Neurospora crassa OR74A: one gene and its partner. The main gene of each other region encodes a partner of the protein of the gene in region 2 in a complex. Links are inferred from orthologs where the notes say so. Each region holds a gene or a part of one and is shown on either strand. Other genes may lie near its edges.

Region 1 (15,247 bases), on a different chromosome or scaffold from region 2:
AGTATTGCTTCACGCAAATCAGTGGTAGCAGGATTCTGGATCTTACTTGTTCGATCATCCGAAGCGCAGGAATCCAGGATCTCGGTTATCCTGTCCAGTGTATCTCGGTCTGTCACTCCCAAATTTTCCAGAAAATTTTTGGTCATTTGAAAGAGGTTCTGGTCGGCGGCTTGGAAGGGCTGAAGCTGAGTGGCGAGAAGTGTAGCAGAATCCATGGCCTCCTCCGGTGCTGTCTCCCTTCGCCTCGTCCTTTTGCTCCTCTTGGTCTCGCCTTTCTCCTCATCTCCTGGATCTGGTATGCCAGCGGCAGATTGCGAACGTTTTCTTGTCGGCAACGATGATGTTCGGTCCTTTGTGGGCTGAGCGGCTCTGGCCTCTTCGACAATAGTAACTTTGGTCTCTCTAACGATGGATTCAGCTTCTTCGGTGTCTTGGGCCCCAGACTTCTCCGCCGAAGTGACTTCAGCCACCACCGCTGCCTCCTCCTCCTGTGTACTTTCTTCGGGAGGCTGCAACTGCTTATCAATCTCCATCTGAACATCTTCATCTTCGACAATGCCTTCTGGAAGTTGGATCGCGACAGCCTGACCAGAAAACCCATGTTCCGCCACGAAGTGAACCAACGCAATACCAAGTTCTGTCCAGGAGTAGCTTGGGATATTCATGACAAGACGAGGTTGGCCAACCTCGTCAGAGTCCGGTCTTGGAGCAGCTATTGTCTTGGCATAATCAGGGAGCGATGGTATCGGATCGAGGTAACGCTCCAAGAATTTCGGAAGACCTTTTTCACGAAATGACTTCATGATAGGGTGGCTTAGGGCCATCTTGTCGTCCAGGACCTCGAGTTGTCGTTTGAGCTGTTCGCCAGCGAATCCTTCAGCGAGCGAAGGAGGCTCGAAATCGGTAACAGCAGGGTCATCGTCCAATTCCACAGCTGCCTCCAGACTGTACCGACTAATTCGTGCGCTCTTGAGAAAAGCGGCAATCCTCGCGGTCTTCCGCCATAGGTCGGCATCGGATGGGTCATAGTCGAGGGCGGCGCTGAACTCGTCCAAGGCTTTCTTGGCGTCATGTTGAATGGCGGCATCATCGTAATCGAAGTCGCTACCCAGTTTGCTGGCCCGTGCCTTGTGTTTTATCCGATCGACTATAAACTGGCCGTGATTCTTGAAGGATAGGTACAAGGTCTGCGGTAGAGTGCTGGCGATCCCATCTACATCGGCAGCACCGACCTCGAGCCCCTGGGCAAGGGTGGGTTCAACGACAAGAGTGCCATCCGGTCGCTCCTCGGTGCGCTCGTACTCGGTCTTGCTCTCGGGGTATCTGAAAATCTCGGACTCAAAAAGGGCATTGTAGGCGTCGGAGGCTTCGTCAAAGAACCGGGGCCCTTGGGCGTGGAGCTTGAGGGCGTTCTGGAATAGTTTCAAGGCATCATCGACCTGTCACAAGACTTCTATAAGCGGTCGAGCTGGCGAGAATCACGACGGGCAGACAATATGTACTTGAATTTGCTTGGTTGTGTCGATTTCCTCATCGACGTTCTCTTCGGGCTCGACGTTGATTGCCTGAAAGGTTGGCTGCAGAAAACAGAGATGTCAGCAGGTTGGCCGTCTTCCACAAGATGCGCTGAAGAGGACACCCCAAGCAGCCGGCTAATCCAATCTTACCATGTTGCCAGAATCGATACTCTTTTCATGCGGTTAATAAGTAATAAGAGTGACGGCGCAGCGGTATAGAGATGCCGGGTGTAGTATACGGTGAAGCCCAGTAATCAAGTGTTGGGCCAAGAGGCAGAGCAGCATCTGTCTTGCCTGGTAGTGTTGTCGACGGGAAGTAAGGTAGAGGTAGTCGACAGAGTCGCGACCCGGGCCAAAGTGAGACGCGATTGCGTTGTTGGACACTGCTTAGTACGCTACCGTAGAGCTGGGTGCCATGTAAATTAATAGGTTGTTAGTGTGCTCCATGCGGAGGTGTGCCAGCAGGGTTCACACTCCATCACGGCAGGCACATGGAAGAAGAAGCTCCCATCACCGAAGCTGCCCGCCCGGCGGTGCATGAGATGTGGATGGCAGGGATGGACGTGTACGGTGGCCTGTGCTCTTTCAAGCTGCCTGCCCGCCTGCCCCTGTTTTCCATTGTTGCGATGACGGACAGCCAGACACGCAGGCAGCCCAGGGTGAGCTGGAGAGCTCGAGCTCCTGCCGTAGGGGTAGGTGGGCTGAGCTTCCATGTGCTGGCGGTAGTGTACATGTACTGCTGGCTTTAATGGGCCGGGCCCGAAGCCAGGAGGAGTATCCCCCACCCGCTGCCCGCCGCCCTTGGAAGACAAGCACCAATCCACGAACACCTCAACTCAAAACAGCTGTGAATAGGCTGAACCATCAAGTCGACGATCCCTCTTTTCGGTCAATCAACTCCCCGTTTTTGTCCCGACCTTGGATGACAAACAGGGCGGCTGACTGTTGGCGACACGACAAATTGCGACAACACAGGCAATTGCGCCTCCAGTTTCCCTGCTCTCTGTTCTAACCACTGTAAACCAACCATCAACATCCCGCCGCAGCCTGGCGGTCCATCGCCCTCACCATGGTTGCGCCAGCTGTCCCCGAGTTCGTGATTCCCGTTTAGAGTTACAGTCCACCCTTTGTCTTGGGTCCTTCAACCAAGCGCACCTAGGCCGAAGCTAATGTTGGATTGCACGCAGGATCACCGAAGAGATACTGCATGAAGCGGTTGACACTCGTACCGAGTCTCTGAGCTCTCTCAGGGAGCTTGGCCCCCCCGATCTCGTACACCTGGTCAAGCAGCCCCTGAAGAACCCCGGAAAGCACGTACGTAACCAGTCTCTCCGACTTCATCCATATGCAACACGACAGCCATCGCTGACCTGCGCATCCATCAGTATGGTGTCTATCACCATGTCACCGGCGTCGACGCGTCCTCCTCGGCCAGTCTGGCTGCTTACATCAACACCCTGACCTACAAGGAGTTCGGCAATTCCGCCACTGCCAAAACCGTCGAAGGAACTTATTGGTAATACCACTCTTTGACCGACTGCGTTCTGGGCTATTCCTAACAATCGCTCGTTCCAGCTGTTACAATGCCTTCTCCCGCGTCGACATGCGCGTACACGCTCCCTTCCCCGGCTCCGTAGAGAGTTATTGCGTTGACGAGCGGGGCGAAAAACGAAAGGCAACCGACGAACTCTGGCTCGAAACATACCTCTGCAGTGTTCTCCGCGCATACTCGTATGCCGACGATGGAAGCGGCGAGACAATCAGAAAGATCATGGGCGTCCGGCGTTTCAACCCCGTTTCCAGTACCGAGACCGAACACAAATTCCTCAGCGCTGCCGAGCAGCTCTTCTTCAGGGGTACCACTCCCCAGCTGTTCACCCTGCGTACAAGCGATTTACTGACTCTCCTATAATAGGCTGGCAACTTGGGTCCGACTCCGTGGTGCAGGTGCCAAACAATGTCTCTAACCACTTGACAGCCGGCCTCCTAAAGTATTTCTCCACAACAGGACGCCACACTTCCGGTATCAATCTCTTTGAGAAGCTTCGGTCGCAAAACGTTGAAGTGGCTTCGCTCTTGGCAAAAGTGCTCTTCATGGGAAACGAGGAGGTGCAAGGAGTCCGTGTTTTGTACGAGGCCCTCAAGGAATCGCCCATGGATTACGTTATGCTTGATACCCAGGCCGAATTCCTTCTCAAAAAGGCCGAAACTGCCCCAACGCCAGAGCTGAGGGAGGAAAGACTACGCATGGCTCTGGGCTGTGCAGACCGAAGTACGATAGCCGCTCCTAGTGAGTTCGGCACGTGGGCAAGACTGGCCCAGGTCTATGTTGCAATGGAGGATTGGGAGAATGCCTTGACCATCCTCAACTCGTGTCCCATGTTCACATACCAGGACAAGGATGCGCCTGTCATGCCAGAACCCAAAGACGTTAACCTACCGACCCTCCCAGAGACCAGGTTGGACGAAATCGACAGCGAGCCAGATTCGAGGTTTTCGGAGCAGGTCGACCCAAGTTTGCTTGGTCTTCGCGCCGCTGCGTATCGGGGAACGTTCAAGCAGGCATACAGCATTCTCACCGAGATGACTGCCAAGATTGGCTGGGATCAACTTCTCAAGATCAGAAGCAACGTTTTTGTTATGGAAGACGAGTATCGAAACGAGAAGCAGGAGCCCTCTTACCCTGCCAAGCGCAATGCTAGCACCGATGCGCTGCGTGGAAGCCCGGATCATACTACGAACGGCGAAACCGCTCCCAAGGAGGCTGCCGAAACTGACGAGGTTGAGGACGAAAAGAAGAATGCTACTTTGGCTGCTGAGCAAACGGAAGGCCTGGAGAGACCTCCTAGCGCTATCGACCCAGAGGTAGTCCGCAAGGCCGAAGAAAACGTACGTCTCCAAGCCGATGCTTCCCTTTGGCAGTTTACTATGGACACGATGCTAACACATGATAGGGTGATAACGAGGATCACTTCTCGCGCCTCAACAACAAGCGTCTATGTGAACGGTGGTTAGACAGCTTGTTCATGGTTCTTTACGAAGATCTTCGCGTATATACCATTTGGCGCACCCAGATGGCTCAGTACAGAGCGCAGAGTATGCAGTACAAAAAGTCGGCGGAAGAGTGGGAGATTCTCGGCAGTCTCGCAGAACGCCTACAGCATACGGACGAAGCGGTTGAGGCATACCGGGCGTGCTTGGGTCAACGCTTCAGCCCCAAGGCGCTCACCGGTATTCTCAAGGTGTTTGAGAAGCAAAAGAGCACACGCGAGAGTGTCGCCGCTCTCATCAGGTTGGTAACTTGGCAGTATCGGTGGTACAGCGAATTCTCACCCGAGCTACTACATACCATCCGGACACTCATCGAGGACGAGGGTGCTGTGAAGGTCAGGAGTATCATCCAGGCGACCAACCTGCCACAGAACGTGCTGGACTTGACGCATCACTATGCGGCGTTGTGTGCTACTTTCCGCAGCAGCGGGACCGACGGCTAGGTTGCTGGGGTTTGATATTGGGGTGCTGTTGATGAAGTGATGGCTGAGAGACGACCATGGCCGTTTACATGGTATGGACGTATACATGATGCCTATGCGTATGGAGAGCAGTCGCGGAGTTGTTCGTATGATAGCGAGTTTTATCATTAATAGAGAATTTGAGCGGCCTGATGAGATATGATAAGCATTGAAAGTTCCAGTTGATGCTATCTAGACTCCTAAGTATAGAGTCTTAGGTCTGTGGACTGTCGAGTGGCGGGAAGACCCCGGCTTATAGCGATCCCCGTTTTGACTCCGGGGCGATTCCCAGCCCCGGTCATCGGGCCGGGCTACCCGTCCTTCCCGTCTTAGCTATGACGGGACCTGCGCCAGTTGTCCCCAATCCGCTCCACAGAGCGGCGTCCCCCCACCATTTGGAGTTTGGCCCCCCAGTTTGCGCTCCGACCTTGGAACCTGCAGGAACTTGGAACTTGCATAAAGCTAGGTTGCTCTTCTTTGTTATCCCCGGAGGTGCGGGGCTATGGTACCTTATGGTTGCCATCAACGTCATCACATATGTAGAAGCGTGGGATAGAGAGCCACAATCCGTCAAAGGCAGTTCGTACAGTAATACAAACAGGCACCAGAATGATGGAGAAGATTACATTGGAACGGATAGGAATCGGCTCTCCACCGTTCGTGGGAGGAGAAAGTGGGGGTTGACTAAGAGATGGGGCTCCAAGCCTTATAAATCATGTTGAACTGCCCTTCCAGTCGTCGTTGATTCTCAATCATTCAAACTTTCTGTTGTCTTTCATGTTGCCTGTCTCACGCGCAATTCCCAGAATACCAAACATCACAAACACCGCCAGATATTTCTTCAGTAAAACAAACACCATGGCTCCTCTGTAAGTACCTTTACTTTGGGGATGAAGTGCCAGGAGAAACCCCTAGAAGAAGCTCACCCGAGCTTACAACTGTCAACAGCAGCAAGACTCACAAGCTCAACACGGGCGACGAGATCCCCGCCGTTGGCCTCGGAACCTGGCAGTCCAAGCCTGGTCAGGTCGAGAAGGCCGTCGAGGCCGCCCTACGTGCCGGCTATACTCACATCGACACCGCGTATGCCTACGGCAACGAGAAGGAGGTTGGCCAAGGCATCAAGGCCTCCGGCGTCCCACGCGAGAAGATCTGGCTCACCACCAAGCTGGACAACGACTGGCACAAGCATGTCGCCGAGGCTATCGATACGTCGCTCAAGAACCTGGACACCCCCTACGTTGACCTCTACCTGATGCACTGGCCCGCCAGTCTTGTCAAGGGGAACACCAAGGAGGTGTACAACGACTGGGACTTTGTGGACACCTGGCGCGAGATGCAGAAGCTGGTTGACACCGGCAAGGTCAAGAACATTGGTGTCAGCAACTTTGGCGTCAAGAACCTGGAGAAGCTTTTGAGCGCCGAGAGCACCAAGGTAAGCAAGATTGTGCTCCTCCTCCTCTTCAAGTTTTGTTGTGAATTGATGAGGACCTCACACATATAATTACAGATTGTTCCCGCCGTTAACCAGATCGAACTTCATCCTGGTAACCCGTCCCCCCACCTTGTCGAGTATCTGCGCTCGAAGGGCATTCATGCTTCGGCCTATTCGCCCCTCGGTAGCAGCGACTCGCCGCTTTACAAGCTTAACAGCCTCACCAAGCTCGCCGAGTCCAAGGGCAAGACTGTGCAGCAGGTTCTCCTTAGATGGGGTGTCCAGAAGGGCTGGAGTGTGCTGCCTAAGAGCGTCACTGAGGAGCGTATCAAGGCCAACATTGATCTCGAGGGCTGGAGCTTGACCGATGAGGAGATTGCTCAGATTGATGAGGTTCACAAGGAGAACAGCTTCAAGGTCTGCGGCGATGACTGGTTGCCTGTCAAGATCTTCTTCGGTGCTGGCGACAGCGACTAAGCGTCGTACACCGTGCAGCCAAGAGGATGCTGGCAAGATATTCCCCCCATAGATGAACAATAATGAATAATGACACCAGAAAATGCTCGCTCGAGATTAATGACTGGCTATGCTCCGTGACCACACATCTGTGACATCCGTTCCGACCAACCCCGCTCCCTACAGCTTCGCTTTCTCCCTTAGCCCCCTCTCCCCCTCCTCCTCCTCCTCCCTAACCACCTCCGTGACAAACCCTCTCACCCTCCTCGCCAACTCCTCCCCCTCGTCCTCATCCAAATCCTCCCTTTTCCCCCTCCCAAACATGGTACTCGTAAATCTCTCAGCCTCCCTCAGCCCTGGCCTGGGAATGATATGAAAATGCATATGCTCAACAACCTGCGCCGCGGCCGACCCGTTGTTCTGGACCACGTTCCAGTCTTTGATTCCCGTCGCCCGCGTCACTGCTTCCGAGAGGATCCGTAGGTAACGCCCCAATTCGGCGGCTTCATCGGGAAGAACGTCGGTGAGTTTGGCGGCGTGCCGACGGGGGCAGAGTAAGAGATGGCCTGGGGAGAGGGGCATGATGTCGAGGAAGGCGATCAGGAGGGGGGTGGAGAGGAGGAGGAAGGTTTGTGGTTGTGGGGAGGTGGAGGTGGAGGGGGGGAAGGGAGAAGGGGGGGTGGTAGGGGGGTAGGGGGGGAAGGTCGAGGAGATGTGGCAGAAGGGACAGTTGGGTTGGGTATCGGAGGAGGATGAGGATGAGGTGTTAGTGGCGCCGGCGCCTGTCTTGGAGGCGGGAAGGCTGGGGTCGAAAGTGTTGGCGTCGGGGACGATGGAGCGTGGAACTGGTGTTGCTGGTGGCTTCTTGTCGGTTGAAGAGGCCATGGCTGCAGTCTGGCGTATGACGTAGTGATGTGTTTGAACGATTGTATATGTCGAAGAGCCCCGAGTTAAACTTGAACTGAAGAAATACTCAAGGGAAATCTCGACAAGGGCTAGGAGTGAAGCTGATCTCGCTATGTAATGATGCCGAGAATGATTGTTTGCTGAGTACGCCCCGTAACCAAGGACCAATGCGACAGAATGTCAAACAAATAATCAAGAAGAACGCCTTGCTCCGTGACAAATCCGAAAAGGAAACACCACTAATGACTCTTGTATGATGATTTCTAGCTGATGACTAAATAGTAGCTCAGTGAAGTACGGGACGAGAGGTCCGGGGCGGCATCTGAAAAGACCCCAAAGCCAAACACAAGTGAAGCACCGGGCCCGTTCCCCGTCCCTGTCTTACCTCCGCTTGCCGGCGGGCATCGACCCGGTGGTGTGCAGTGGTGAGGCGCCAGGGCTGCCGCGAACAACCTCGGCCTCCAAACTCCGCCGAAAACGTGGGGGAATTGCCTGCCGCGCTGACAGCTACCCACAGAAGAGTGGAGAATTTATCATGATATGACAGGGGTAACTTGCATTCGCAAAGTCCGAACGCCGCCTGCTTCTGTCACCCTTTGTCAAAGTCTGGAACTTTCTGCCTCAGCGTCCCGCCTTTTTTTACCTTTCGTTGTTCGCGTCCAGTTGAAACTCAGTCGCCTGTATAGGTAGCGCTCCGTCCCTCTCGTCCGTCGCAAACCACTCCACCGGTAAATATTCAACATCATCATCATCATCAACCGAACGACATCATCGTCGCATATCGCTATAAATCGCATAACATCGATTTGTCGTCGCCTCAACACAAAGACAATCTTACACGTTGCATAACCGTCATCCAATTTATCCGAGCAAACCCGACGACAAACAAACCCAAACCACAAATACCACACCACCCTCAACACAACACAAACAACCAAGATGTCTTCCCGCGAGCAATACCAGGTCCCCAACTCCCAGGGCTTCACCACCGGTGCCTCTAACAACGACGGCAACAGCGGTGGCAGCAGCGTCATGTGGTACACTTGCGGCGACTGCGCGGTCCGCGTGCCGCTCGAGAAGGGCGCTCCTATCCGTTGCCAGAAGTGCGGTGCGCGTGTTTTGTATAAGGAGCGCACCAAGAGGTACGTTTTCTTTGGGCTTACCCGGTGGAAGATTCTGAGAAGGTGGGAGAGAAAAATCTTATGCTAACGACGGTCTGGGGGTAATAGAATGGTTCAGTTCGAGGCTCGGTAAATGGTTTCTTATTCGACTTTGTTCGACTTGGGGCCAACAAAGGAGGTGTAGAAAGGGGTCGCTCTTCCTCGATGCCGTATCGGGCTGAAGTTTTCATCGTATTTGGACCGGCCGGGATGTCCTGATGCCCAAGGACGGGAGCCGAGTCAGCCTTGGAGGCAACGGGAACATTTGTCGAGGGGAGCTGGGACCGTAGGAGACTCGAACCGTCGATATCTTGGTGTGATTTTGCACCATTAGCGGTGGCTTAGCATGGCCCAGCCTTGAACCTACGGCTTGTTGTGATCAGAAGAAGGGAGATATCATATTCATCACAATATCATGATGGCGGCGTTCTGGGAAATATCGGTAGACTTGTGGGAATTTATACAAAGAAAGCATTGCTTTTCATCATCGTCATCATCACCTATCACCATCAGATGGATCCGTTCTGTGATGCTTCTCATTATTGATCATGTTTTTTGCCATATAGAATATTGGTATGGTATCACTCTGAAAACGCCGGTTGTATGCTAAATCTCCTTCCCTCTCGATCACTTGTCTTGCCAACACTGCTCCATAAATCCTTTCCTTACCAATGGCCAATCTCATCACCTCTGGCTGTGGAGGTACTTTGCAAAACTTGCGTCGGCCAAAACCGAATCATCCTCGCCCTGCATGGCAGCGGCGTACCTCGCCTGCAATCCCTCGCGGTCATACTCGTCGTTGGGATCGTCACCATATTCCTCGTCGCTGCTCTCCTCGTCCGTGCTCAACGGCTCGGGGGCCTCTTTATCATTGACGTCACCCACTGTGACGTCGCCCGCCGCGTCGCCCATCGACATTCCCTTCATCATTTTGTTGAGTTCCCTCTCCCGCGCCTTCTTCTTGTTCTCCTCCCTTTCTTCGCGCCTCCTCTCGAGCTCAGGCTGGTAATCGCGCTTGAACTCCTCTGCCTTCTCCTGAACCGCGGCAAAGAACTCGTCAATGCCCGTCCCGTACAGCGAACTGACGCCCACCACGTTCAGATGTGCGTAAAACTCCTCCAACATCAGACTCATGCTGTTCAACAGCGAGCCCATGTATCCGCTGCCCGAGCCCATGCCATCGCCGCTGCCCTCCGCTCCGCCAAACGCGTTGTTGGTCTCGTCCTCCTGCAGCGCAGCCTGGAACGCATCATAGTCGGTCATCCACTCCTTTGCAAAAGCCGGGTCCTTAACGTCCGACTTGTTGAAGACCAGAATCATGGGCAGCTTGGTCTTGTAAAGGATACTGCAGGCGTACAGCATGTTGCTCATGAAGGTCGACGTCGAGCTCGTCCGGGGGGTGTCGATGATGTAGGCGATGACGGTGGGGAAGGATGAGGCGAGCGACTCAAGGAGAATCTGGCCCGACGCGGACCAGACGAACACCTCGATCTGGCCCGGCGTGTCGACGAGAATGTGCTTGATGGGCGTGTGCGTCGGGTCGTCGGGCTTGGGCGCCGTGCGCTTCTCGAGCAGGCCGAGAACCTGGTCGACTTTGGTGGCAAAGAGGTTCAGCGATGTGAGAATGCCGCCGTTGGGGCCGAGGTTGTACTGCTTCATCACCTCCTTGTAGTTGACCGAGTCGCGGATGTCAATGTTGCTCTCGAAGGGCGAGTGGGTGACTGCTGGGTCGAGGTTGATGACATAAGGAGGCTCCTTCTTTCCGTGGAGATGGGCATTGATCTGTTGCATAAAGGTTGTCTTGCCGGATCCTGGGGAACATGGTCAGCTGGATGATTCCGCTTGCGGTTGGGAAAAGCACAGAACATGAGCATGCGTAGACCTACCTGCCATGCCAACGCAGACGATGGCAACAGGCTGGTCAGCCTTGGCGGCAGACGATGCCGAAGTCGAAGCCATGGTGCGACAGCTGTGCACGGGTGCGTGGAAGATCGTTTGGTGATCTCTGTGTTATCTGTCGGATAAAATCAAAGTTGTTGCAGATTTCAGTTTGCGCAGAGATGGTGTTGTAATGAGTCTCGGGAAGAAAGTTTCACGGATGTCGTAAGCGGCGGGGTCACTGCTGTAGGGATGGTCATAGGTGGTTGCGACGGAGTGAATGTCCGAGGGCCACAGAGGGGCAACACCGCAAGAGAAAAAAAAAAACAAAAAAAAACCAAAGTCCATTGATCGCCTGGCGTAGCGGGCGGAAAGGTTCCATCCATCAAGGCATGGGTGGGGTGAAGGGTAGGTAAGGCTTGGCATTTTGTTTTCCCCAAAGTGAAATGACTGAAACCTCGACATTGGTCTCTTTTCATCCTCTCACCCATTCATCTTCCAACTACCTACGCCTTCATGTTCCTCGACATCCAATCCATATCTGGCCGGCTCGCATCTCATCCATCATCTTTTTACCAATTTGGAACTAAATCAGTTGGCGACCTATACCCTGTTATCATGCCTATATCAAAAGCCCATATGGCCTGCTTGACAGCTTCTTGTTTTCAGCCGAGCCGCTGTTAATCCGCGAATACCACAGCCCTCAACCGCCGCAGTAGCTAGTCGACACTCGACCTAGTAACTTGGCGGTCCCGCTCTTCAAGTTATACCCCGGTATTATGGGTGCCTGGATATTTTAGGATCTCAACGGCTGGATGGCATAGCACTTGCCGCGGGCAGACAAGCCCCGAAGGCTTCATCGACCTCACAGGCTATTGTTCAATGAAGTCTGTCCACTTGTCCAGTTTCAACTAATCCTTTCACGCCTAGCAATGAAGCCGGATACGGATGCTTTTTGGACAATTCGGGGAGTCGTCGAGTGGCAATTTGATACTGCTGAACGAGACCGGGATAAGCGATGGGAGAAAAGGCGTCTCACGTCATCTTCGGAAAAGGTCAGGAACTATAGGCAGGATGCTGGCGGGGGCGATTCACCAATGCCAATGACCGCTAAACCCATGCTAAGCGTATGGTCGGTGGTCCCGCGCTGGGGAGTGGGCGCAGCCGGTGGCCTCTTATTGCGTCAAAATTCTCTTCAAAATGGTGGGTGATGGGAGCTGGGTTGGTCCAATAAGCCACAAACGTAATGGCAAGATCCGTCTGTTCGGCACTACCAGGAGGCAGCGTGGCCGGGAACCAAGCGGCCATCCACAGGCTGCCCCTCATGATACTCAGCCCTACCAACCTACCTCTACCACGTTCTATCCATTATACTCCAAGCTGACCCCCAAGATCCGTTTGAATTCTCTCCCTCCCACTTCCTCTCTTGTTTCGTCTCTCGTCCCACACCAGGGCCAGATTCATCATCCGACTTGGGCCAAATTCCAGCGACTCATCAAATCCAGGCTTCGGAGATCGGCTACTATACCCTGCCCACACCTCTATAGAGGTGAATAAACTTTCATTTATCGGTGTTACATATCTACCCACAGCATCCAATGTCCACCATGTTGCGCAAGAAGGAAGCCTTCACCGTTATCACGCCCATCCCGGGCTTCATTCCACGACAGTTGGCCATCGACATCCTTCATTCTCATTCTGAAGTCATTACTCTTAACCCTCTTGTCCTCGACCACAAGCCCATCGCGGCCCCCCAGGATGCAGAAACAGACGAGTATTATGCGACATGGTATGAGATCACCGAACGAGTCACGATTCTGCCTGGAATTGGGAGGATGGGGGCTACAACCATCAAGTTCAATGGCTGCTTTCACGACATGCCGTGGGGTCTTCAGACTCACATATACGCCCCCATGAACGTTGACCTTCGCAACACCTATCGCATCGCCGGTAATCAACCAAACTTTGAGCCTCCAGAGCCACTTGAGATGGGGTTATCAGCTCTTGGGGCACCGTCGGATGGGTTATATCTCCGTGAGGATATTGAGATCAAGTGCAGTCGCACTGTCATGAGCTTTGTCAAGTCGCAAATGAAGAAGGCGGGTGGGGAAATGGTGAGACGCATCATCAAGAAGGCTGAGTTACTGGATGCTGGCGTGCTTCAGGCTATGATCGAGGACGGAAAGCTGAAGACGTTCAACCCGGCCGACAAGAGGAATACAGTCCGACGACCGGCGGTGGCTTCTCCGGGCCCTCAGTTTTCGCCCACATTTGCCAGCTCATCGGCCTCTGGTACACCACCTCAGTCTCCCGGTATTCCCTACCAGATCCCGCGACCGCTATCTGCTACTCCCAGTCAACACCGGTCAAGTACTCCTGGATCCTACCACCGTCCTAACAGCTACGGAAAGGCACCAGCTGCTTTCGGCTATGGAACCCCGAATGGACCACAGGAGCTGTCTGTCACCAACCCTGAACCGGTCTCAAATGGTCCGATTGAGATGCCAGGCGACTTCTACCACGCCCCATCAAACCTTCAGCCTCAATCTCTGTCATCCTCCAACCGAAATTCCAGTCAGTCATACTCGTCCGACCGGCCACAAGCAAGCCCGAACCCATCATTACGCAGCGGGTTCCCGTCTCCCGCTTTGGACAAGAATTTTGGACTACAGACTCACCAGGAAACGTCCGAGGAGCACAGGGAGGAGGCTTTGAAGAAATTAGACCCGCGTATCCCGCATCCGTCTCACTACGCTCCGTATAATCCAGCGGATTACGGTCCCGTGGACCCGTTGAAAGTTCCCGGCAACCAGTATGGACACAGTCCACAGGCTCAGCAGCTGTATAAGAACACATACACAAGGTGATGGAACAGGAACGAATTTAACAGGTTTTTTTTTTTCATTTTTTTTTTCCAATGTGGCTTGACATTGGATGATAGACAGGCAGGTGGCTATATCTTGTTTTTTTTACTTGGTTCTTCAAATACCCATTCGCTTTTTTCTTTGCTATAATATGTGTACAGACTTTTGACTTTATGTGATGATGAAGACTTGGACGGGAAAAAGAGGAGTTAGCGTGCTGGTTCATTGTCAAGGCACTTGAAGGTTCGATAAGATCAATGTAATTCTTCACTTTGCAGGCGCCAAGTTGAGAGAGCATTGTCCCGTAGGCCTAACCAAATATCCTCTGCAGCACTTCCAGGCAGCAAGACTTAAATTAGTGTCACACCCATTCATCACAGTATGTGCGTGATGTGCTATGGTGGAATATCAAATGCAACTGCATACTTGACTGCCAAACATTCTCTTGCTAAAGTTACTCTTCCTCTTCTCTCCCGAACGCAATCATTGTACCGATGGTTGTTAAGAATCGAAATCGAGATGATTCTTGAGCCTATATCAACTCGGAAGACGGGTGTATAAAGATGATCTGGGAGCATTATCATAGTTGGCAGCACAAAGACTGGACTTTCGATTCTTCCTATCCATCGGAGGGTTATCAGTCATCAACACTCTGAAAACTGCAAACGGCTTTCCGTGCAGCTAAGCTTAGGCTTCGTTTGAATATCTTCCCGTTGATATCACATAAAGTGTGCCAGCGGCTACCGTTTTGCTGCTGTGTCGTACAGTCAGTGGTGAGGGTGGCTCAAGACATTACACATCTAGTACCGGTGGTAAACGGTAGAAGTCTAAAAGTGAAATGACCAAGCTATGCAACAGGATGTTGATAACGTTGACGTATAGTAAGAGGACCACTACCGTGGCCATGTGGATAATCTCATGCATCTTTACCTCAATAAAAGGTTCAATGCTTGTTGGGTAGATGGTTATCGTGGGATCAGATCGAAGTGAGGTTGCTGATAAAGATATGGAATGGAATATTACCTCTTGCGGTTAGTGTAAGCAGCAATTGGCGCTTTTGAGTATCCCGCTAAAATACGTCACTCCACTGCAGCATCCTCCATAAACCATCAACCGATCAAACTTGTCATGCAGTAGCCTCGACTGAACAACAACCGATTGCCCACAATCGGAATCTGCCAACATGGACAGCTTGGAAGACTTTGAGAAGCAGCTCGCTGCGGAAAGGGAGGAGCGCGAGCGCGCAAAGGAAAAGGAACAACGGCGCAAGCACAAACATCATCATCATCATCGCCGCGACAGATCATCAGACCGCGACCGCGACCGAGCTGGGAATAGGGACAAGGATACAGAGAGAGACAAAGACAGACACAGAGATAGGGACAGTGACCGCCACCGATCACATCGATCTCGAGACGACCACGACGAGGAAGATGACAAGGATGGACACCGACACAAGCGATCGCGCCATTCGCGTCACGACGACCACCACGAAGAGGAATCGCGGCACCGGCACAGA
Region 2 (15,990 bases):
TTTGGGGATGGTCATGGCGCTGGATGACGCCGAACGCTCAGACGAGGGCACCATCTTCTTGATAGAGTGCATGAAATCTGACGCCTGAATGCTGATCTTCTGAGGATTGACCACAAGCTTTTCCTTGGATGTATAGATCTGGGGATACGTTCTCTGAATGGCATTCAGAGCCGCCTCGGTGCAAAGGGCACGGAGATCGGCACCGCCATATCCCTTGGTGAATTCGGCCAACTGGTCTTTGAACTCGTTCGACAAACCCCAGTCCTTAGTGTGAATCTCGAGAATCGATCGCCTTCCTTCGATGTCGGGAAGGGGGAAGTAGAATTCTCGATCGAAACGGCCGGGGCGACGCAAAGCAGGGTCGATGTTGTCAGGGCGGTTAGTGGCACCGATGACAATTACTTGTCCACGACCGTCCATGCCATCCATCAACGCCAGCAGGGTAGAGACAATGCTTGCATGGATCTGCTCCTGCTTGCTGGATCGCACAGGGGCAAGACCATCGATCTCATCGAAGAAGATGATACTGGGTTGCGTCCTCCGAGCTTCCTCGAAGAGCAACCGCAGCTGCTTCTCTGCCTCACCAACCCACTTGCTGAGAGCGTCAGCTCCTTTGCGCATGTAGAAGCTGATCTTGCGGCCTCCGGAGCCGACCGAGTTGGCCAAGGCTCTGGCGAGGAGAGTTTTACCGGTACCGGGCGGACCGTGGAAAAGAACACCTCGTGGTGGTGTAACATGAAATCTGGTGAAAAGTTCGGGATACAAAAGGGGAAGCTGAACCATCTCCTTGAGTTGGTCGATGTGGCCTTGCAAGCCTCCGACTTTGCTAAAGTCAACACTCGTATCGACGCCAAGCGGATCCGCATCCGCAAACGCCTTGAGATTCTTCACCTTTCCGACGTTAGGTGTGGCGCCTCCAATACCACCCAGGCCGTCCACATTATGGGTCTGAGCCGCAGGATTGGATAAGCCAACCGGAGGAGCGGCAGAAGTGGGCGTCATGCCAATAGGGTTCTGGCCAGGACCGGTTCGTTGCACCATCTCGTCGTCGCTGCTGTCGGAATCAACGCCGCCCGTAGCACCGGTGCCCCAAGGGCCTCCAAGCAGAGCGCCAATTCCAGCGCCACCGAAGGGACCATAGGTGGTGTTTAAAGGACGGTCCCATCCTGCATTTCCTCCGTTCCTCTTGCGGCCTCTTGCTGGCGTTGCCACAGGCTCTTCATCTTCCTCGGCCTCGAGGGCGGCCAAGTCGATCGCCGGGATAGTGTAATCAACACGCTGGGTAGTGCGACGTCTCTTGCCCGCGGGTTCCTCGTACTGAATAGAAGGTGAGCGGCGACGGCGAGTGGCAGCTCTTCGCGGCCGCGAGCGTGAGCTCTCGCGAAGCTCCTCGAGTTCTTCAGCAAGCTCCTCCCTATCCAGCTCAACTTCCTCATCACCAGAATCTTGGTTGCGGCGAGGCCTTTTGGCAGCGCGAGCACGGGTGGAACGTCCGCGAACGGGTGTAGCGGCAGACTCATCTGCACTGGAACCTTTACGTCCACTCTTTTTAACTGAAGCCTCCGAGGCATAGCATTCGTTATCGCCCGACTCCTCGCCTGGCTCAAAGTCACTACTAGGTTCAGCGAGCGACCTCTTCTTCAAGCGAGACCCACGCCTGAGGCGGCTCCTGAGTCCTTCGCCCTCTGGTTCAACTGCTGTGACAGTGGTCGTGGTCGAGGCAGCTGTGGTAGATGTGACGGCTCTAGCCCCACGAGTCCGCCTAGTAATCGGACGATCGTCTTCGTCGTCACCGTCTGCGTCTTCTGCTGCTGGCTGGCTCTCGGTCTGTGCAGGTTGTTCTTCGCTAACCTGTTGGGCAGCTCCTTCCTCGGCCACCTGTTCAGCCCTTCCCTCTTGGTGTTCGTCTGGATGGTCAGCGGGCGCATCGACCATGTTCGCCTGACCGGCCAGCTCGTCCACATCGTCAGCATTGGGTATATCCGTCTCGACCTTGAATTCGTCGTCATCTTCCTCATGCGAGGCTTCGGGAATGGGTGGAGGTTGTTGTTTCTTAACACCCTTGGAACCACGGGTAGCTCTGGTGGCGTGGGTCAAGGCTTCCGGGCTTTTACTTCTTGTTGATGCGCGGGTGACGCGGGTATGTCTTCCCGAGTTGGACAGCTCGAGCAATGGCTCGTCCGTCTCTTCCGTGCGGGCTCTCGTAGAGCGGCGGGTCGGGGGAACCATGGTTGCTGGTTCTTTGGCAGCAGCGCCACGTCTTGGTCGTTGTGAGCTTGGCTTGGCGCCTTTTTTGACACTCAGCACAACGATGCGAGACTTCTTTTTGCTGGGACTCTGTTCAGGAGACTCTATCGAAGGCACTCTATGTTCTTCGTCGGGCTCCTGGACGACGTCTTTGTCTTGGTCAGACGACTGGATCCCGTCTTCGTCTTCACTGCTTTCCCTGTACGATTGGTGTCGTGCGGCAGCCTGGCGCATCCGCCTGCCCGTAGCGTTGACAGGAGCGTCCGAGTCTTCTTCTTCTTCCTCGTCTTCCTCTTCACCGAAAGAGATGTCTTGTTCGCTGTCGCTGATATCTTCGTCGTCTTCGATGTCGGATCCTTTGTATCGGCTGTTCCGCCTGCGCGCGCCGCCAGCAGCGCCTCGGTTCTTTGGGCGGCGGGTGTTTGCTTGCTTCCTTGCACTTCGCGGGGTTCGTTGCTTTTCGGCAATGGGGTCGAAGTTTTCGTCTTCGGGATCGGATTTGTTAGGGTCGAAATCCGTGAGAAAGTCCTTTTTACGCTTAGACATAGCAGATTGTTGGTGGGGGCAAAACGGCTAGGTATAATGTGGTCCAATAAGTGCTGCAACGAATAGCTCTGAATAGGACTGGGGTTGGTGGTGGACAATAGTAGGGTGGATTCCGATGGGGTGCCTATTCCGTCCGATGGCGAGAATGGGGGCAAAAAGCTAGCGGTTGGTGAATTGTTGAGCTTGCGACTGGCTATTTCGATGCGATGTTTATTGATAACAGCTATTCAATATCTAGCAGCCTGCATGAATAAGTCGTGTTAGGTCCGTGTGTGCCGTGCAGAGCAAAACAGGATGCGTCAACAGGTCAAGGGAAGCAATGGGAAGTGGGAGCAAAGGGACGGGATGGAAAGAGGCAACTGAACAACCAGAAAAAAAGAGAGCCACATACAGATTTATGTTCTGTCTGGTATGGACCTAGGTGCCGTGGGGGGGTGAAATTGGGTCAACACTCGGTCGGCTCTCACCTTGCTGTCAGGTTGACGACTAACAGGAGGTGGGATGTACCGCTGCATCGACGGAGCACTTTAGTTCAGGTCGAAGTTGCCTTGAGGTTTGGACAGAGCAAAACCTATCCAAGGGCGCAATTGAGGTAGAGCCAGACAGAGAGTCGAAGGGCATCTAGGAGAGGCACTGGGCAGGTAGGAGGATTTGGTAGAATGCGACGACTGATGCGACGATGCTTCTTTTTTTTTTTCTTTGGGTAATGCAATATGCATACACACACACACACACGGCAGCAGACACGCACACACACGCGAACACACGCCCGGCACTAGACTAGACTGCTCGCTGGGGAGTTGAAGTCGGACTGCGGTGCCGGTCTTGGTGCCGAGCTAGTATGTTATGTAGAGGTTGTAGTAGTGAAGGGAGGCAGCAGTGTGGTGCAAATCCTCTCGCGCGCGCGCATAACTTCCCGAGAGGAGAGGACTTGAAGCAAACTCCAGTCGTTATAGTTGAAAGTCGCGAAGCTGGATGGATAAGTAGCTTCACCTCGGCGGGAGATATCGAGTGCAGTCGGTCAGATGCCGTGAATTGTAGGTAGGTTGTGCAGAAGGAAGGCAGGACGGGAGGGAGGCCAGAAGCAGGGGCAAAGACTACCTAGGACTGGCGTGAAAGAAGTGTCACTGGAGTTGAGGTGGTGAGTGAATGAGCGTGGTGAGCTGCCTGGGGTGCGGCAGACGGGAGGCAAGAAGGTGGACAGTCAGCGGTCGGTCGGTCGCGTTCGTTCCCTTCATTACCAGGTAGGTCGTTCGCGGAACTGTGAACTGGAATGAAACTGGAACTGGAAGAAAGGCGCTGGTTGGCACCGTCCTGGCCAATCAGCACGCCCAGAGACCACAAAAGCTGGTCCATGCGCTGCAGGCACCAGCCCCGGCATTGCGAATCACCTCAGAAAAAATCGCAAAGTACCCCCTGCCCCGACAATTCGCCCGTCGACCCAACTTTGACGCGTCGTGAATTGAGCACTCGTATTGTCGCTGTCACCAACACAAAATTGCAGAGAATGGCTGCTCAGATTGAAAGCAGAGACATCAGACAGCATTGGGAAAGGTGCATTGAGTGTGTAAATGCAAAATTGAAGCCGCAATTTAGAGAGCAAAATAATCTGTGGAAAATGGTCGTTGAGAGTGAGACGCGTCTCAGTTGAAGATCCCAAAAGCTCTTTAAAAGAGGCAATGTCGTCATACCATTTAAGCTGGTCGGGGTGGGTGCCGGTGAGGAAAACTGCACTGGCTCTGGTCGCTCGGTGGGGATTTTCCCCACGTGGCTTTCGAATGCGGCTCAAGCGCCTTCACTCTGCACAACGCCAAGGGGTCCAACTTAAGGGGACTGGACTGGAGCGAGGGGAAGCACAAGCAGCGGCCGGCACACGGACGATGGGATGGTCAAGGCAATGGGCCAGGGGAAACGGGGAGGACGGACAAAGTCGGGGACGCTTTGGGGAGGCACAAGGGGAAGGAACTTCATCGTGGGGTGATCGGCTTCGGCCCAGCCCTACCTACCACCGACGGCGTCTCACACCGCGGGGCGGCCAGCGGCCAGCGGCCAGCGAAAGGGGACAACGGTAGAAGGTGACGCCTGGGCGGATGCCCATCCAGGGCAGCCATATAACTACCTTTTCATCTTGTTTTCTTCTAGCCTGGCCGTCGGCTGCTCTGATATCTGCGTAGGATTTGCCGCGGACATTCTTCCTGTTACATATGTTAGCTTGACGTTCGTGGTTCTGATTTTGCACATCAACTGGCGTTAGCTGGTTCAGGTTAATGATCATCTCTGCCCCATTACTCATCTCGAAGCCCGTCATCAGTTCCCATCTTCGTTATTGGGTCCGTGCGGATATCAGTAGTAAACAAACACAAAGGGGTTGGCCAAGCGTTGAGGCACTTGAGAACCAGAACCCAGGGGGGCCAGCTTTTTGTGGGGTGACCCTTTTCCTAGATTTCAATGTCATCTCTTTGACCCCATTCAGAGCTTGATAAAGACTGAGGGACAAGCTTCCCGCCATACTTCTTATGGCCCATCAATTTCCATGACTATTCTCTACATTGTCTATACAATGATATATGCTTTCTAGCCTAGCTTTTACTGCCCGAACCACAAAATAACTGATGTATACCTCGGCAAGATGCTCAAATAGTGCGGTACAGGTCATGGCCTCCTCTCGATTAGGCGCTTGGAATTTTGATTGGCCAGCGCCTGGGTGTCGCTTGGGTGTGTCTCAACAACACACCATGGTGGTTACAGGCTGGAAGCGGCCAGACTTCCAACTGAGCTGGATGATCGCTTCTCTCGCAAAAAGCATGCCTTTTCTCAGCACTTCGTAGGGTACTTCCAAACGTAAGCGCCAAGATGTCCAATGTAGGACTGGGTGGATGATGTGCAATGCGCACAATCCAACTAAACTTGATGATATGATCCGTGGCCGTGGGTCCGGCTCAGCAAAGCGTGGTTTACCTCTTCCGTGCCGGCAGTCTGATCTTGGGAAACTGAAGAGGCAGTTGCAGGACGGCAAAGTTCTCCATCTTGTCAGCGACCTTCTGTTGCTTGACGCGAGCTCCAATCTCGATAAAGTATTGGTTGAGCTGCTTCTGCTCCAGCTTCAGATCTTCTCTCAAGTCAATCGTGTTGACCCTGAAGCCGTCGATGATGGCGGCAAATGCGCAGCAGTGCGTCATCAGAAGGTCAACGTGTGTCTTGCGCATGACTCCGCCGTCCGAGAACTTGCGGCGGATGTTTTCAATCACGATCTCGGGCGCTGGTGCCATAACCTCGCGCAGCTTATCCCTCTTACCAATGCTTCTTGTGCCACGCTCCCTTCCTTGCGAGGTGGCATTCCAGAAAATGATGACGAACAAGAGGTACCGCAGTACCCTCAATCTGTGCACCGCGTCGTCGCTGCTTGCTACGTTGGAAACGCGCTTGGCGACAAAGCGCGAAGGTACCTGGATGTCTTCTAGGTTCTTGACGCTCTCCTGCCAATCCATCACTGGTATCGCGTTCAGGACCTCGGATCCGATAATTTGGGATGGTACGTAGACGTCTGCGATTTCATCGGCATTGAAGTTGCCGCGCGGTACCGGTCGGGCGTTGTCGACAGCGGCTTGAAGGTCTTCCTTGGTCGACATGTCCTTGGTGGCGGTCTTGATGGCGTCCATCATCACCAGCTCGCTCTGGCCAACCTTTTGAGATGTAATGGCGTTCTCCGTCACGTCGCGGATCGCCTTCTTCGCCTTCTTAGTACCGAATGCCTCGCCGAGCTCGTTCCTCATGGCCATCATTTGCTGTTGCACCGTCAGTCTGGTTTTATGCCCCTGACCACTACTTCCAGGCTTACCTGTTTCTGAGTCTTCTCTTCCATTGCCTCGTCAACCGCCTTCTGCGACCTAACTGTGCCACGGAGCACCATCTTGCGCGCCTCTACAATCTCAACCTCGGCGGTTTTGGGGTTGAAGATGCCAATGTAGTGCTTCAGGTATGGGTCGGACGAGTCTCCTGTCCTATCTTCGCGAGCTGTGTAGTCCATCGTCCGGTGGTTGGCAGAGTGCAGCAGCAACTCTTGTGCGGGCGCGCCATTCTTCTTGCGCTTCGAGGTCTTGTCGGCTGGTGTGGCGTAGGCTTGAAATTGTATGGACGAAGAGAGAGCGAGTCCCGAGGTCGCGGCTAGGAGCGCATGTTAGAGTCTTCCTCCATTGGACTTGACGGCCATGGTTTCAGCCGATCAACATGTGCTTACCCACGACCGGAGGCGCATACTGCGGCCTCTTCACAGCTCCGACATTGATGAACTTGGGCGACTTGGACGATTTCTCGGAGTCGACCTTCTTCTTCTTGATTTGGGGTGTTGTATCCTCAGCGCTCTTGCGCTTCTTGTCTGATGAGCTTCCCATGGTGGTGTTTGCGGGCTACAAAGGTGCTGGGGTAGTGTAGAGTCGTGAAGTCCCGCCAAATCAAATGGATCATGCAGCTGGAGAGTCGCTGTCTGAACTTCCGAGTGGATCCCGCAGCCAGAAAAAAATTCTGCCGCCTGCCGGGGTCCGGTATCAGTTACCGCCTTTACAATCGACACACCACATTTGATGACGACGATGCAATATGTTTGATGATTTGTGTTGAAATACTACGAAGCGCGAAATCTTCATGCTATGAAATCAATTGCTATTGGTTTGCTGTTAAATTGCTTGGAGAGATGAAGAATAGCAAGCCGCACGCGTGCTAAAACAATCAACCAGACATGGAGGGGTTCAGTCCAAGTCACAAGGCAAACCAAGGCTTGGGACGCGATTTCTATGCCCTCGTGCATGCAGGCCACTGCCTTCCCCGTCGTTGAAAATGTTCACTGATGTTGCAAAAATTGGTATTCCCTTTGTGTGCAAATGCCATGTCACCTGTTCGAGGGCAGATGACCATGTTGTCGACAGAAACAATTGATCCAAGACATGCAGTCCCGTTTGTCACAGATGCAGAGAAGTGTATCATGAAGCGAAGCGGCCTTTATTGTTGCTGCGACGGGTATCCCGAATTCGCGTCTCCAAACTAGACAGTTTGCTCCCACCGGCGTTGATCCGTAAACACCTTGTTGCTACTCAACCATGAAGTTGACAGGCAACCAGCCAATACCATATCCGCCACCAAACAGTTCCGTTCTATGTGTGCCACAGTTTGATGTGCAGCATGTCCCGAGGGGTGCATGTTCCGTAGGAACCCTGAGTTCGCCTGATCACCGCAAGGTTTCAGAGCGACCGATGTGGCGTCATTCCGCGCTGAGGGGAGGAGTCGACACCGAGCCCAAGTTGTCTAATGGCTTAGAGGATAATGTCAAGAGCTGATTGGGTCGAGTGAGGCGAGGCGTTTATTTGCTGGGATCGAGTCAGCTTATATGCTCCTGAGTGGCGATTGTAGCTGCATCAACTGTCGATGCGCCGATGGTGAAACTTACGATCTCGCTCTCATCTTTCTTCTCTTGCGCTTAAGGCGTCTCACGCGCTTCTTTCTCCACTTCGCTCTCATCTTGAACTGCTTGTATGTCAGTAGGCGGGCAAGCAAATGCTGGGGGGCGGGAGCGCGTACATCTTGGATTTAAAGATGAGTTTTGCTTGTTGGTGATGGGAAAGAGTTTCAACTTGCGAATGGAGAGGGGGAACTTTTATCTCATAGGGCTCCAGGGCAAGCAGCCCTGTGGGGTAAGTCAGGTGACGCAGGCCCAAATTGCCCAGGCCTGCCGCTCTTTGTTTGGATGCGGTCCGTGCGGGGTGCGACCTTTGCCCTAGGTGGCCCAAGCTCCCGCTGACGGACGGGAGCTTCAGCTGGACTGCATCAGAAGCTCGGCTCGGAGATCGACTCCCGTCTCGTCCTCCAACGAGCGAGCCTGCCTCCCGCTCCTACTAATGGACACTGCACTTTCACTTCACTTGCAAGCTGCACCCGTCCAGGTCAAAGGAAGGCACGACCTGTCTGCATAAAAAGATTTTCACGATAGCTGGACATGGGAAGGAGGAGTCGATCCTCAAGGCACCAACTCACTCTTCCAATCTCGTCCTGTGATCTTGAACTCTGAGTGTCGTTCCCAACCTTTACCTACTTCTACTTCTCAATACGCAAAGCCACGGTGGGCCATGAATAGTCAACACTATCTACGGACGCAAGTGACGACATCAACGCATACATGAGTGAACGTTGACATTGCCGGCTTTATCATTATCATTATCCTTTGTTTTCCGTGTCTCGGTGTTGACAGCTGGTTTGATATGTCGCAACCGCCTGTGGCAAGTGTTTCCTTCGAAGACACTAGCACTGCTCCTCCTACAAGAGGTAGGTATCTGTCATTTCCCTGAAGTGATCGTGAATACTGTGATGTATCCCTCGCTGGTCTCCTCCAACCAGTGCTCCCTAACTTTCGTGTCGCAAGTCCAGGCGGCTTTTACATCTGGCCAAACCAGACAGTCAGAATTGGTCGTGACACGGACCGAGATAATAATGACGTTGTCTTTGTCGATTCCACTGTCTCAAGAAACCACTTTGAGCTGTATTCTATCACTGTTGACGAAGAAGGTCGCCATACATCACTTGTGTTTGTGCGAGACCGACAGTCTTCCAACGGGACTCTGCTCAACAAAAAGTGCGTTGGGAAGAAGCCAGACATCACTCCGGGAAGACTACTCCAGAATGGGGATGTCATCTCCATATATCCTTACATCACTTTCAAGTTCGTTCAGCTCGAGCAGGGAACTTCGTTTTTGCGGCTCACTGCACGCCAGCGAGAGGAGCTCAAGGTACTATTGTTATCTTGGCGTGCGACGAAAATAAAACATGCCATGATCTGACTTAGCAACATCCAGCTCCTTGAGAACCGATACCTTGTGGAAGACCGCACATTAGGAAACGGTGCCCATGCTGTGGTCTACCTAGCCACAGATGTCTTGACAGGGCAGCAGGTGGCTTGCAAAGTGCACAACTTAGATAGACGGCCCCGGTCACACCAGATACTCCGTCGGATCAAGCAGGAGGCAATGCTGTTGAGCTACCTCGATCACGTAAGTCATTGAAAGGGCACGGGACGATGGATCAAGCTAACAAAAGTCGTCAGCCGAATATTCTTTCCATCAAGGCTGCCTTCGAATCAGAGCATTCGGTGTAAGACCTTCATCACGAGCAGCTAGCAGGGTTGGGCAACTAATGTATCTCTAGGTATATCTTTACAGAGCTGGCTACTGGTGGCGATCTCTTCTCACTTCTATCACGCGAGGGGGCACTCCCCGAGCTAGAAATACGCTGGATCATACGCCAGACCCTCAATGCTGTTGACTACATCCACAACAAGGGGGTCGCACATCGAGACATCAAGCCAGAGAATATTCTCTGTGCCATAGCGCCAAATGTCTCCTACAGGCTTGTTCTCTCCGATTTTGGGGACTCGGCTGTTACGAACCGTGGAAGATTAAGGTCCGAGGTTGGAACAACCTTCTATCGCGCCCCGTGAGTTTCGCACTTCCCCTCCTGGGTTGACATATGTCACTGGATTGTTGAGAGCAATGCTAACGCTTGATTCAGCGAATGCTATAACTCCGAGCGAGGTCATTCATTGTCTGTCGACATCTGGTCCATTGGGATGCTTTGCCTTCAGCTTTTCTCTGGATTCCAAGAACTTCCGAATCTTCGTCATCTCGATTTTACCAGCCAAGACAGAATCGACCGCTACCTCAACATCATCCTCAATGACCTCGGCTGTGACATTGCTGTTCAAGATGGCGATGAAGACTACGGCAATGACAATGAGCCCATTGACCCTCAAACCTCCCGCCTCCGTCCAGATGAAAACATCTCAAGCCATGCAAAGGACTTCATTCGCGGATGTCTCACCTACAACAGCAAACACCGGCTCACGGCGCGCCAAGCTCTTACTCATCCCTGGATATGCGAGCCCGAGGAAGATGACAGTCTCTTCAGACGTCTTGAAGGCGATAATGCAGCTTCGTGGGAGCCTAGGAAGATTCGGCTCGCTCCTTTCATCGAAAAGCTCGATGCGACCACTGATGCGCATAATGGGAATGGAGAACAAGAACTTGGTACGGCGGCAGAGCCTATGGGGGAGGAGGAGGAAGAAGACGAAGACGCCAGTGCTAAGATTTCGCCACACTTTCAGAGGGACCCGACTCCTTTCCTTTCGTGTCACACCTTATCATCAGCCCATCAACAACGAGAAGAGGAAGACACAGATCACCCACTAAGCGCCAAAAGCTGGTTTTCATCTCCGCTGACAGTTCAAACCCGGCGGACTAGTCAAAGACCACAACACCAGCCAGGTTTGTGGATTGACTCTGACCCATCGCATCCCTCCGAGGACGAAGGATGGGGGGCCGGCGGTATCAGAGCACATCGTCCCCCTCTACCCTCATTCACGTTTACTCCACCATCGCCAGACTTGCCAGAACTTTCTTCTTCGCCCTTGGCGCCACTTTCACAAGAATCAATTATCCATGGCAAAGTGAACAGCAACCAGCACAGCGACGAGCGTCCAAAGGAAGATGCATCGATGACTGAACCGTCCGCAACCGCAGCAACTTTAGCTCATCTGCGAGAGGCAGAGAAAAGACGGAACGAGTTCAAGCTGACTGACTGCAAACGACGGAGGACTTGTCCAGTCTGACCGCCGACCGCCGATAACATGTTCAGTATCCAGGCATTTGACTGACGACCCATGATACTTCTGTAACTGTGTGATGGCGCTTATTGACATAGTAGGGACTAAGCTTCATGTTAGCATATGTGTGATAGATATCCATGTGGCTTTCGTCAAGTTAGGCACTTGATGCGATGTGGATTGATGTGTTTTTCCCCAAGTCGTTTGTACGTTGTCGAAGGATGGATGATGACCCGGCGGTGCGGGGATGTGCGTTTCAGTTGAATTGAGGCTGAGTCCTAACGACATCATGCGGCCTGGTTAGGCACTTGTCAGCCATTCATCCATTCATCCACATCTCTGAGGCACAAGCATGCTATCCGAGAGGGGAAAAGGAACGAGACTTCTTGAGATATGGCTCGGTGGCTTGCCAGCGTTTGACGGTCGAGGCAATACACGCCCGTGATGTAATATCTCAAAACTAACGTGCGGAAATCAACGAGCCTTGCCTCAAACATAGGTAGAACCGATGTCTGGGAAGCATGATGCAATGTCACAAACCCAATCTTGTCGTCCTAGGTGCCCAAAGAGAAGACATCCAAAGAAACGGAGGAACTTGCATTGAATCAGCACGTGTTGCTAAGGTCTAGCCGCTCCCCACATTCATGAGTTTACGAAAGCGGCCTCGTCAACTGGTCATCGGCATTTCTTGCGTCTTTTTCCTATCCAGACGCGAGCGCTAACCTCGCCACAACCGCTTGGACCGAAAATCGTCAAGTCGTTAGTCACTAACACGGAAAATGATCACTTATATACATATTACATGTACATGATAATGGATGGTGATATCTGCCATTGGACGATGGTTATATTGTTGAGCCGGTATCACCAGATAAGGGATTGTTATTAATATTCCCCCTTCAGTGTCCAACCGTCATGCCGTCGTTCGAATCCCGAATGAACTGAATCGTTGACGAGAACTGGACGGGGAAGCTCCTCACCGGGCTGCTTCCCGTGCCGGTCCCCAGCGGTCCCCAGCGGTCCCATGAGGTGATCCGCTATGGAATGATTGACCCGCATATCCACTCACCCACAAAGTGACCCGCTCCGACAACGACGAAGTGGAGACATGCATACAAGGCCAATCGGCATCGGGACAAGGGGGGGACTGGGGCTCTCTTGTCACCCTCTCCACATTCTTCTGGGATCTTGCGAAGTCGAGATTGGGGCTCAACCTTGGCAACTTTGAGGGACTGCATGTTCGAACTGTGTATGTCTTCACAAGTGGAAGTTCCCATGATTTTGAACCATGACCCCTCCCCGAGCCCCGGCCGAAGCGGAAACCTCGGCAGCCGCTCTGACGATGAAGGATAATGACCGTACACAACACTACTGTGCGGTAACTTCTCTCGAGCATACCTATCAAAGCGAGTGACGGATATAGGCGGCTCAGCTTGTGTCGCGACGACAGTAAACTCATTTCAGGTGGGTGGTCTCAAGCAATTGGAAGCTGGTCAAGTTTAGTCATGGACGGTCGCGCGAGTGCGGACTCATTAGAGTAATTTTATCGTCAATTCCGGCAAAGTTTCAAGAATATCACTTGTATTGTGTGCTCTCTTTACCTGCGTCCGTATGACCAGGTACTAGGGAGGGTGTCGCTTTATTCATTGCCCGATATTTTGGGTCCAGTCTTTTAGTGTAGAATATTGGTTTGAGAAGTGTCGGCATTGCCATGGTAGAGGGATAGAGGGATGGAGAGTTGCCAAATCAGAGAGGGTGAATCGAGTGCCAATCTGAGAGCTCTGGGCGTAATTGTCCGATTTGTGCAACCTAAAGGCAGCCCGAAGTGGAAGCTTTGCGACCGCTGCATGTCTTTACTGGAGCGGACGGGATCCCACTCATCATCCCTATCGCAAGGAAGAAGAAAGAGGCTCATCCTCGCACGCGGCATCCTCGCATCCATCTCCCCGCCCTTGAGAGCTTTTTGGGGGAAATCGGCCGGCATGAAATCGGACGTCCTGCTTCAGCATAGTGGGGTCATGAGATTACAGTACCTCCCGGCCGTGTGTTGAACTTGGTTGAACCGCTGGGTTTCGTGCGTACTCTAGTCTCTTTGTCATAGTAGCACCTGTACTGGTTTTTTATTGTTTTCATTTTCCAGTCATCAAGGTTCTTGGTTTATTGAGCCGAGTGAAACGCTTTAGCTCAATGAGGGAGGGGGGAAAATAGGGCGACATGGAAAAGCGTTGAGATGAATCAATCTTGTGATGCAGTAACCTTGAAACATTGAAACAGAGAGAAGGTGACATTGGGAGTCAAAAGGGCATCAACAAGTCCCCACATACTATTAGTCGTTAGGTCCTCCCCCCCACTCACTCACATCATCATTGCCGTCGTCCCTCTTTGCTTTATCAAACCGCAAGTGTGGATGCTGCTGCGATGGTGAATTGTGGATCTCAACTTTCCTCCTGAAAGCGGAGACGTTGACGGTCACTTTGGACACTATCGACGAGTTCCCATTTTTGGCATTGCCGATGTCCACTGGGTGCCAGCTTTCTGCCCCCTTTGTCCCTCAATTCCAGCCACACAGCACCGCATTAATTATAATTATAGCTACAGTGACAACTGTGGTCGACATGTACGGTCCTCTCAGTTTCCAGACTTGTGGCACTGCCCCTGGCAACTGTGACAGCGCTGCACTCGGTCGGTGCCAATCTGCCAATCCCATGGAACCGTGACCTTTTCCAAGTTTGTCGAGACGTGGCTCCTTGGTAGTAGGTAAGGTAGGTAGGTAGGTGCATTGCCATGTATGTATGTAGGTTAGTAGGTATGTAGAAGCTGCGACGTGCCAGCCCAGCCAGGACGGAGCCAGCCAGCCAGCCAGCCATCTCTTTCGCATGTCGTTCCCATCTAAACGTTCAGGCGCCGCCGCATGGACGGACAGGCGGGATCGGGATCCTCACGGAAAAAGGAGCCTCACAAGTCCCGCCGTCACCACCCCTCATCCACTCTCTCGGTGCTGTGCCTCCTTCCGTTCCAGCTTTGGAATCGCACGAACCGGCGGACGGACAGATGGCACCCACAATGTTGCAACTGCTCACCACCTGTTCACCTGTTCTTCTTTCTCTAGCACGGCAATACCCCCAAGAGGAGTCGCAAAACGAAAGCGAGGAGCTTCCTTGGAGCGAACAGAGATACCGACAGGACATTCCAAACCGAAACCCGAGTCGGACCGTGCCAATATCGAGAGGCATACTGGCATAATCCGTCGGCCATCCCCATCAAACCCAACTTTTGCAGCGCAAGTTGCTGGAGACGACTTGAAGTCCATCGGAACTCGCCGCATCTTCCTTCCGTCTCTTTGCTTGCAATACTACCTATCATCGGGCTGGTCTACATACTGCGCACCTACCATAAGCATTGTTCACTGGCCTCTAGAGATTCTGGTCGAGTCCTGTAACGCCGCGGGTCTGAGGGTCGTATATCGCCGTCCTCGGCAACTAGAAAAGGAATCTTATATGTCTCAGGCTGAGAGAGAGAGACAGACCTTGGCACTCTTGAATGAGACCCCTGATCATTTCCATGCCTTGGGCCTCGATTTCCCTAGCACATTATCGGCGGGAGCTGTGCTAAACGAGCCGAACGAACCACAGCTCTCAGCTGTCACGGTGCCCAGGCGTGTTTCCATACTCCAACTGGGGCACTCCGTCCTCTCCCCCTCCCCGCCTCCACTCTTTGGCTCTGGTAGCACTCACACAGCTCTAGCAGTGGGCAGCTGCACGTCCATCGCATTAGACGGCTGCACCTTGCAACTGCCCGGGATCCCGCTCTGAAATCTGATTTCCCCGGGCTGGCCTCTTCATTTACACCCTTGCAACAACCCTACCTTCCATCTTCCTCCGTCCAGGTTGGTGGCTGTCACTGCCCTGCCTTGCGGCTTAAACCGTTAACGATCCCCCATCCCATCCGCCCCAATCTTCGATCCTCCACTACCTCGCTGCCTGCCTGCCTTCTGTGCCTCTTCAACCATTCCTTCGTTCCATTGCAAGACCCAGAAGACCACCCACCACGTTCACCCGCCAGAGCAGCCGCAGAAGAGACCGGATCCAAGCAACTGAACGGTGTGGGAATTCCCGGAAAGAAATAAAAAAAAATAAAAATACTCTCGGCGGCCTCACCTTCGAGCCCTTCAAGGTTTGATCGTCGACTTGGACTGGACGACTCCTGGTTGGTAGCCAAGGTAACCACGGTATACTCACTGATTACCTTGACCTTGCACACTACCTACCTAGGAGGTACCTCGACCCTTGTGTCCCCATCGTGTCTACCATCCCATCGCTCTGGCTGCTGCTTCAAATCTCCCTCCTTTTCTGCCTTGTCCCGGATATATCCACCAGCCGTTGCTGTTGGGGCCTTGAGCCGCATTCCGCGCCTTCAGCTTCCCCAGACGCCCAGCCCCCCCCCTCCCGCTTCACTGTTCCATCTGGTTGTTGTCCCATCTGGCGCGGGCTTGTAATTCTACTACCCCCCGCTCAATCAAATCAGTCACGAGGCTGCTCCCACTTGTCTGATCTCCT

The links.
Region 1: NCU06485 (region 2) and NCU04508 share a complex: the UniProt entries of both Saccharomyces cerevisiae proteins name them as parts of the RNA polymerase I (Pol I) complex. The link is inferred for Neurospora crassa OR74A from reciprocal best matches to the Saccharomyces cerevisiae genes RPA49 and RPC10.

What each region holds. Positions count from the first base shown.
Region 1 is NC_026504.1:3,133,681-3,148,927, forward strand, and holds NCU04508 (hypothetical protein), read left to right. Parts: upstream 1-8,434; 5' UTR 8,435-8,765; coding exon 8,766-8,968; intron 8,969-9,055; coding exon 9,056-9,080; 3' UTR 9,081-9,524; downstream 9,525-15,247. Other genes in the region: NCU04512 (hypothetical protein), read right to left, coding at 1-1,439, 1,503-1,577, 1,668-1,670; NCU04511 (bud site selection protein 7), read left to right, coding at 2,587-2,609, 2,705-2,831, 2,903-3,033, 3,093-3,373, 3,433-4,406, 4,472-5,011; gcy-3 (aldose reductase), read left to right, coding at 5,807-5,898, 5,978-6,464, 6,540-6,941; NCU04509 (HIT domain-containing protein), read right to left, coding at 7,101-7,805; NCU04507 (ATP binding protein), read right to left, coding at 9,671-10,797, 10,873-10,945; NCU04506 (hypothetical protein), read left to right, coding at 12,463-13,731; NCU04505 (cell cycle control protein cwf19), read left to right, coding at 14,912-15,247. UniProt on the Saccharomyces cerevisiae protein: DNA-dependent RNA polymerases catalyze the transcription of DNA into RNA using the four ribonucleoside triphosphates as substrates.
Region 2 is NC_026503.1:1,577,455-1,593,444, forward strand, and holds NCU06485 (hypothetical protein), read right to left. Parts: upstream 7,258-15,990; 5' UTR 7,185-7,257; coding exon 7,031-7,184; intron 6,958-7,030; coding exon 6,632-6,957; intron 6,579-6,631; coding exon 5,748-6,578; 3' UTR 5,224-5,747; downstream 1-5,223. Other genes in the region: NCU06484 (hypothetical protein), read right to left, coding at 1-2,793; stk-43 (serine/threonine protein kinase-43), read left to right, coding at 9,042-9,105, 9,208-9,566, 9,633-9,827, 9,881-9,927, 9,982-10,269, 10,345-11,440. UniProt on the Saccharomyces cerevisiae protein: DNA-dependent RNA polymerases catalyze the transcription of DNA into RNA using the four ribonucleoside triphosphates as substrates. Component of RNA polymerase I (Pol I) which synthesizes ribosomal RNA precursors.